2 linked regions of the Oryzias latipes genome follow. The protein of the gene in region 2 purifies or fractionates together with the protein of the main gene of each other region. This does not show direct contact. Links are inferred from orthologs where the notes say so. Each region holds a gene or a part of one and is shown on either strand. Other genes may lie near its edges.

Evidence for each region.
Region 1: the proteins of nkx2-1 (region 2) and foxa1 purify together in Homo sapiens (affinity purification with western blotting; 3 studies listed by BioGRID and IntAct, with this or other methods). This does not show direct contact. The link is inferred for Oryzias latipes from reciprocal best matches to the Homo sapiens genes NKX2-1 and FOXA1.

Annotation. Positions count from the first base shown.
Region 1 is NC_019880.2:2,255,398-2,259,892, forward strand, and holds the start of foxa1 (hepatocyte nuclear factor 3-alpha), read right to left. Parts: upstream 2,920-4,495; 5' UTR 2,563-2,919; coding exon 2,497-2,562; intron 630-2,496; coding exon 1-629. UniProt on the Homo sapiens protein: Transcription factor that is involved in embryonic development, establishment of tissue-specific gene expression and regulation of gene expression in differentiated tissues.
Region 2 is NC_019880.2:861,062-865,490, forward strand, and holds the start of nkx2-1 (homeobox protein Nkx-2.1), read left to right. Parts: upstream 1-1,533; 5' UTR 1,534-1,757; coding exon 1,758-2,124; intron 2,125-2,432; coding exon 2,433-3,106; 3' UTR 3,107-4,429. UniProt on the Homo sapiens protein: Transcription factor that binds and activates the promoter of thyroid specific genes such as thyroglobulin, thyroperoxidase, and thyrotropin receptor. Crucial in the maintenance of the thyroid differentiation phenotype.

The sequences.
Region 1 (4,495 bases), about 1.4 Mb from region 2:
ATGTTCCCCGAGTCCGGGTGCAGGGTCCAGTAGGAGCCCTTCCCTGGCTTGTCCGGGGACCGCGACACCTTCACAAAACAGTCGTTGAAGGACAGCGAGTGACGGATGGAGTTCTGCCAGCGCTGCTGGTTCTGCCGGTAGTACGGGAACAGGTCCATGATCCACTGGTAGATCTCGCTAAGGGTCAGCATCTTACTGGGGGCCTGCTGAATCGCCATGGTGATGAGCGAGATGTAGGAGTAGGGCGGCTTGGCGTGGGGGTAGCTCCGTCTGAAGGTTTTGTTGTCTCGGGCTCGGTTCAGTCCGGCGCCGCTGTACGCCATGCTGGGGCTCATGGCGGGGCTCATGCTGCCATACGGGTTCAGGCCCATGGAGGCCTGCTGGCCCGACACCGAGCTCATGCTGGACGGGCTCAGCGCCCCGCCCATGGAAGCCACGCCCCCTCCCAGACCAGACATGGCCACCGGAGCCGAGCCCGCCATCGCCCCCACGGGCGAATGGGTCAGTCCAGAACCACTGTAGGACATGTTGAAGGAGCCGGGGGTGGTTCCACTGCTGGACATGTAGCCGGACATGGAGCCCATCCCGAGCCCAGAACCCATCCCAGCGCCGCCCATCGGAGAGTATACCTGCAAACAGAACCAGAACCAGTTATCCCCCGCAGGCCCACCTCACATGTGCAGAACCAAGAGCTGCAAGGCCCAGATAAGATACTGAGCAGAACACAGGAAGTTTCATCAGTGGGGTTTGATACCAGCCTGACCCGGTTAATAAAAACCCAAAAGAGATTCCATTCATGATTATCATCATTTTTACACAAGTTTGAGATGAAACGGCGCTTTCTGAGCAGCTCAGAATGTTCTGGATCAGCAGGCTTTATCCGGTTCTGGACCAGATTTTTTTCAAAGGAACCATCATAGTGGTACGCACCTTCCAGAACCACAGACTGAACCCGAGACGTGAAATTTTGAAGAGGATGAAAGCTCTAAACCCATTCCAATGACGAGAACCTCTTTGTTCTGATCCGGTTCTAGTGTGAAGGGACTACGTGAGGTTCGTGGGTCCAACACATCTAATGAGTTTCATGATAAAGTCCGATTCAGCTGCAGCTGGAGGAGAACAGGTTCTGTTCCCACGTGTCTTTTATGGCCCATCAGAACCCCAAGGTCACGTTATTGTTATGTTATTATTACTCATTATAATATATTATTATTATTATATTATATTACAATTTTATTTTAACAGTTTACTAACATTTACTAAATGTACCAAAAATATAGAAATTATTGAATATTTTGATAAACATTAATTTAAATCTAAAACAAAAATAAAAAGCTCCTTGTGTTTATTAAAAAAAATGATGGTGAATATTTTCCCCAGAAATAGATTTATTAGAAAGACGGAGTCGAGGTTCGTCTGCGTGTTCGGACATGTGGATGAGGTTCGGTCCGTTTGCCGCCGCTGCGGGCCTTCCCGCCTTCGGTCTTCACGGAAGCAAAGGACGGAAGAAACGAACTTTGGATGAAATGTTGTGATTTGTAAAAAGAAAAAAAAAATTAAGAGTGGTTCAGACTGAGAGAATATTATTTATTTATTACCGTTAATAATTGTTATTAATAATTAATTCATCATTGAGTAAATTCACAAAAACATTTATTAATGCTGCTCAGATCCATTTAATTTCGGGGGATATTATTTTATTCCTTTTTAAATAAAAAAATGAATGTTTTTATTCATACATATATATCTATATATATCTATCTATATCTATATCTATATCTATATCTATCTATATCTATATCTATATCTATATCTATCTATATCTATATCTATATCTATATCTATCTATATCTATATATCTATATCTATATCTATATCTATCTATCTATCTATCTATCTATCTATCTATCTATCTATCTATCTATCTATCTATCTATATCTATATATATATATATATATATATATATATATATATATATATATTGTAATGTAATAAATAAACAAATATTAACCCGTTTTCCCTAACATTTAGATCAAAATTGTTTAGGTTTAAACTTAAAATCATTTAATTTAATTCAAGCAAACGGCAGTAAAATAACATAAAACAAAATGTTACGAGTAAAAAGAGAAATTAATCCGAACTCCGTGTTGGAAGGATAATTGCGTTTTAAAACCTTTAATCAAATGATTTTTTTTTTTGTAAAGATCGGGCACGCGCGCTTTGGAACCAACAATAACATTTTCAAAATTAGTCATTTTTTAATTTTATTTTATAAACAGATAAAACCTTTAAAATATTTTTTAGAGCGGATTATTGTTATTTTTTAATTTTAAACACCTGCAAAAAATTTGGATCCGAATTTTGAATTTTTAGTTTATTTTTTTTCTTTAAATTTTACTTTTTCTAATAAGCATCTTGTTACTTTTCTTTTTTCTTTCGCCTCGCGACCCGTCCTCAAAGTTCTTTACCGGTAGTTCGGCGCGCGCGGTACCGACCTCCTCGCTGTAGTAGCCGGTCCAGTCCGGAGCCTCGTGCCCTTCCATCTTCACCGCACCCAGCATGACGGGGTCCGCTCCGGGTCAATGGCCCCCTGTCCCGGTTCGGTCCGTTGTCGTGCGTCCGCGCCGCGCCGAGCCCAGCGAGCCGCGCGCACAGAGGCAGAGTGAGGAAGAGGAGGAGGTGACGAAGGTGACCTGCGGGCTGATGTGACGCTCCTCCTCGCGCAGGTCCAGCCCCCGCGCCCCCCCCGCCTCCTGCTTCCCCCCTCCTCTATGATCAGCGTCGGACCAACTGGATGGGTTGGGGGGGGGGGGGCTGTCACGTGGTGGGGGAGTCGAGCCGGAAACTCACCTGCGGGTCACGCGGACAGGTGTATAGTTGTTTGCTCGAGCTCACATCCGGTTAGTCTCACGAAGTGACGGTGGGCGGTCCTGTCAAAGTGGAGATGCCTTCTGTAGGGGCTGGAACTGTGACGGAACCGAAGGTCCAATGCAAACTCAAAGTCTCTAGAACCAGGCGGAAGGTTCTGGTGTCCGGACGGAACTCAGGTCAGGAGAAAGTCTGCAGATTCCTCCTGAAAGAGTTTTTTATCATCATCTGTGAAGTGACCATGGTGGGCGTGGCCTCTGACCGGAAAGAGGCGGGGCCTAAAATGTTCAGAAGAAGAGACAATCATGAAAACAGGAACCGGTTCTGTTCATTGATCTGCCTCAGAAATACGCGATAAATGAGTGAATTTGTTGTCAAGGCAACAGAAAGATGGAGCACAGGTCACAGGAACATTTATCTGTTACAGTTTTAATAGCTGTTCCTGTCGCTCTACGCATGCGCAGCGGTGGATGGGTTCGATTCCTTTTTCGCTCTTTGAGGCCCAGAAGAAGCTAACTACAAAAAAAGAGAAAATGTCATGAAATATTAAAAATAAAAAAGGACGGAATGATTTCAAATGAAAGTAATTAATCATTTTTCTAATTCTTTTGTGTTAAATATTCTTTTTTTTTACCATTAAAACTTTTATTTAATTGAATGAACATTTTCTTGAAAAACGCCACTTATGTCAGAAATTTGTTGACTTTATTGAAAAAATGTTCTTACAAAGTAAAATATTCATTTCAATATTTAACTTTGTAAGAAATTGCCTCGAAGTGTTTTACTAGTTTTTTTTCACTTATTTATTCAATATTTTTTTACAGTTTCTGTGATATAAGCTTTAATGTAAAAGTGCTTACGTTTAGTTTGTGTTAAAGGCACGTTAAAAATATTAATTATGATTAAACTGTCTGCTTTGGTTGGATCTCTGTGGTTCTGATCTCAACAAATGTTCAGAAAAACGTTTGAAGGATTTTAAATAGTTTTAGATTTTTAGGATTTTAGAAAATCAGTCGAAGTGTTCCTCTTTACTTTTCACTATCTCTGTTCTCATGAGAACTTTGTTGTTGTCTTTTAACCTGTTTTTTGTAAAAATGCTTTTGTTAAAAGTTCTGTGTGGTTCTGAGACCCGGTCCAAGAGTTCTGACGGGAAGAACGGGTCTCATTTCCACTGACAGTGTGTGGATGTTCGGCACCAGGTGAAAACTGGACAGGAGCGGTTCTGGTTTCAGTGGTTAGGGTCCAGAACTTGTTCAGGCCCATTCTTCTCCTCGCCTCCTGGACTGCGTCAGACCCGGGTGATGGAGCTGGTTCCGGTTTCGGTGTGACTCAGTACCATAAATCCTGTAGCTGTCAGTCAGGACGGCGCTCCACGGTAATTATGATGTCACTGCAGAGACTGGAGGACTTCGGGACCAGACCTGGACCTGAACCTGGATGTGATGCCCCCCCCCCCCCCCCCCCCCCCCCCCCCGGGGACAGCGAGAGGGTCACAGGGAGGGTAAGGTGTGTTTGGGCTCAGGCTGAAAGACGGCGTGTGTTCTGATCGTGAGTCAGAGCTTTAATTGCAGTTCCTCAGCTTCCCGCAGAACCGGTTCACTTACGCGTCAAAAGCCCGGCGAGCGG
Region 2 (4,429 bases):
GTCTTCCCCCACCCCCACCCCCACCCCCCACTTTATATCAAACAACGCCCGGTTGATAAACACGCGCCTCGCGCGGCCTCGGTCACACGGGCGCCCACGGCCCCTTCAGTCTTCTGAGGAATTAGCCGCAGCATTTCAACTAATTGCTGCTAATTGGCTGTAATAGCCTCGCTGCAGAATGGGGGGGGGGGTTCCCATTTAGTTAAATGTCTTACGAAGTTCTTCAATTAAGGGAGCGCGCGACAGGCTGCGCGTGGCCGCAGAATTCTGCGGTTGTTGCGGCCTAAGTTCTGCCGCGCCGCAGCTGCGGCTGCTGTGCTGTGCGGGGTAAAAACCCGCAGCTGAAGCTGTGCGGTTAGAACGCAGACCGCAGATCTGAGGGTTTGCGGGGGCAGCACCCGCAGCGGCGCGTGTCCACCGGCGGGAACGGATCCCAAACGGTTTCGGGAGTTCTGAGGTCTGAACATTTAAAAAGAAATAATTTTCTTATCCAGACAATTTGTTGGAATAATATTGAAAGGAACATTTGTATTTTTGTCATTCTATAATAGGGAGCTCAAACTAAATTGATGTAAACAGAATAATTTACCTGCCGGGATTAAAACAAAATTCTGAATTAAAATAAAATCAGGTTTCTTTAAAGCTCATGGAGAAAGTGTGGCGCCTTCATCTCTCACGTGAAAATAATACAAATCCTTTCTATTTTGGGAGGTGGAAGCACATTCTGCCTGTAAAATTGGAGCCATCAAGAGCTCCATTCCTGTTCCGCTGCTTCAGCTCAAATGGCTCCTGTGCGTAAAATCTTCCCCATGCCTGGGTTAAACTGTAATGGCTCCTTGAGCATTAAGGCAAGATGCTGCTGAGGGCTACCTGGCGTTGTGCTGCAGGAGAGCAGCTACTTGAACACCACCAACTTCATATGAGAGCCTCTCCTGCTCCAGACTTGATTTCTCCCCCTTTCCTTTTCTAGCAGGTCTCTCACCCGCGAGCGTGCATCCGACATTAGGTGACACGCTGCTGCGCCCAATGATCTCAAAAGGAGGGGAGGAAAAAGTGAGAGGGGGGGGGGTTCATTTACGCATCCACTTAACGCGCGGATGTGTATTTATTTACTTATCAGTATCAGTCATTTTCCTCCCCGCGAGCGCACTTTTGCATGTCTGAGTACGAGCAGGCAGCAACAAACAATCCTGCAATCACGGAGGCCTCTCGTGGCCATTAAAAGTCAGTGGTTCTGCTGAGGAGTGCTCCTCCGACCCTCGAGTCCACACAGGCCTCCTTTCATCAAGAGGCCCTCGTAAACATCACTACAGTTAATAAAGTGCATTGTGGTCACTGCAGCCCCGAGCTGCGGCCGCGGCAGCAACAAGTCAGAAAGTTGGCGCGCGGCTCCGGCCGCGCTCACGCACGCACGCACGCACGCGGCGTATGTTGTTGTCGGTGGGAGGGAGCGCCTGTCTTCTAAGTGAAATTACGCGCAGCCAAAGGAGGTTAGAGCTGTTTGGTATTGTTGCAGAGGCCCCGCCTCTGACGGGAGCCCGAAACCTGGCTGCCAGCTAAAACAAACCCGAGCCAGCGCCGAGCTCCCACTCAATCCAATTAAGGCGGACTTGAGGCGCTCTCCTACGTCTTCATCGAGCAGAGTCGACGTTGAGACAACAGGAACCAGAGGGGCTTTGGCCAAGAAAAAAAAAGGAGAGGAGAGAGAAGGAGAGATTGCCTTGCCTTCTAATTTCTCCCTCTCCAGCCACAGAACAATGTCGATGAGCCCCAAGCAGACGACTCCTTTTTCTGTTTCCGATATCTTGAGTCCCCTTGAGGAGAGCTATAAGAAAGTAAGTATGGACAACAACAACCTGGGGGCGCCTCTCACTTCTTACCGGCAGCCGCAGGTCTCCCAGGCCGCTATGCAGCAGCACCACATGGGCCACAACGGGACCGTGTCGGCGGCTTACCACATGACCGCGGCGGGGGTCTCCCAGCTGTCGCACACCGCCATGGGGGGCTACTGTAACGGCAACCTGGGCAACATGGGCGAGCTGCCCTCCTACCAGGACGGCATGAGGGGCAGCGCCGCGGCCACCGGCTGGTACGGAGCCAACCCGGACCCGCGCTTCTCCACCAGTGAGTATCGAGCGCGCGCGCCAAATCTGGGATTTACGCAGAGATTGGAGCCTCGTTTCAGAGCAACTAAAGCGCGCGAGGGTTTCATGAAATGATGTCAACATCTGGATAAAACATGGAATTAAAACAGGACTTTTTTTTATCTAAAATTTCTAAATCATGATTTTTAAATTAAAGAAAATGACACATTACTGTTGCTCGTTTCGCGTTTGAGTCCAAAACTTTTAAAACATTTTTATTCATCAACAAAGAAATTTAGTTTTTGCTTCTTCCTGCGTAAAATCTGACCGCGCTTCTCATCTTCTCAGTTTCCCGCTTCATGGGCTCGTCGTCGGGCATGAACATGGGCAGCATGGGGAGCCTCGGGTCCCTGGCAGATGTGGGGAAAGGCATGAGCTCCCTGTCCAGCACCCCGAGGCGGAAGCGGCGCGTGCTGTTCTCCCAGGCGCAGGTGTACGAGCTGGAACGGCGCTTCAAGCAGCAGAAGTACCTGTCTGCGCCGGAGAGGGAACACCTGGCAAGCATGATCCACCTCACCCCGACCCAGGTGAAAATCTGGTTCCAGAACCACCGCTACAAGATGAAGAGGCAGGCGAAGGACAAGGCGTCGCAGCAGCACCTGCAGCAGGACGGCGGCTCCTGCCAGCAGCAGCAGCAGCAGCAGCAGTCCCCGCGGAGGGTGGCCGTGCCGGTGCTGGTGAAGGACGGGAAGCCGTGCCAGGGCAGCGGCCACACGCCCACGTCCTCCGCGCAGACGCACCACCAGCAAGGAGGCAACGTCATGATCATGTCCAGCGGCGCGTCCGGCCTCGGGCACCAGAGCCAGCAGGTGGGAAGCACGGGTCACTCCCCGGACTTGGCGTCGTCCAGTCCGCCGTCCATGCAGAGCCAGGTGGCCGGCCTCTCCCACCTCAACTCCCCCGGCGCGGAGTACGGCTCGGCCCTGCAGTGTTCCGCGCTGCTGTACGGCAGGACGTGGTGACAGGAGGCGCCGGCTGCGACCCCCGAACACGCAAAGTTTTTCTCTTTTTAAAGATTATTGTAAAAATGTCAACAGAAAAGCCGCCATTTTTCAAAGACCACGCGTGGAAAAAGTTTTCCCAGAAACTGCGGATGTGAAAATGTTGGGAATTATTTATGTAAATTATATTCAGAGAAAAAGAGGAAAAAGCCGGGCGCATGAACACGAGTGGACTGCTGCACCCCCCTCCCCACGGACACGAACCCACGACACGACTCTGATTTATCCTAGAAATTCATGTAAGAGTAGAGTAGCGTGTATATTTCTGTCCGAGGTTTGGATTTTAGATCTTTGTTGTACAGATGTTTTGGAGGTTTTTGCTCGTTTGTTGTCGTTTCTGGTATTTGTACGTTTTTTTCTTTGTAACTTAAAAAGAAATTTGAAAAATAGTCCTATAAATAAATTATGGAAAAAACAGGTAAAGTTTCTGACACATGTTAATGAGGGCGCTTTAAATCATGAAGCGATACACAAATATTTATCCTCATTACTTAAAAAGTATTTTTACGTCATAAATCCAGCCGTCGGCGGATCAAAGCGGCTCTTATTGTGAAAGTGCCTCTTATCTGCGCGTTTTCACTCCGTGACAGATCGCCCCGCTTATCGCGGAGGCCGCGGCGCGCAAACATTTGCGCCCCGCAGGTAAACTCGCCCTTTTTGACTTCCTTTCGCGCGCGCGCGCGTCCTCTCCGCGTGAGTCACTCAGGTGAGGTTTGTCAGCATCAGTCGGAGCACAAAGGCGCCTTATCGGGGAAAATCTGAAAGCAAACAAATTCCTCTCCAGTGACGGCGCAGCTGATCAATAATCAATCCACAAATTTGTGTTGGAACAACAAAAACACACAAACAGTTGCTGCACATTTTCGTATTTTCTGATGCGCCTTTTGAAATTGACCGCAATAAAGACCCGTAATCTCTGTCTTTTCTGCGGGTTATTACCGCGCAGCCTATAATAACCATTAGACTCTATTCTCCCGCGCGGCGCGGCCGTATCTTCGACGGTAAACAACGTGGTTGCTAAGCGACGGAGGAAATAGAAGAATAAATGGTCTGTTTAGGATTCTCGGCTTCATCATTTCTGAGTCTGAAAAACAACGAAGGCAGTTTGACCCGAACGTGATTGAACTGAGCGGGAACGGACGGCATCCGGGAGGAGCCAAAACTCTGCTTTGGATTATTTCTGATTTTTCTGAGCGGCTGGTTCTGACGGAAACGTTCCGGGTCATGTGATCCGTGGGCTCTGAGGCCTGCGGATCCACCGAATCTGGAAAGTTCTGGAAGGAA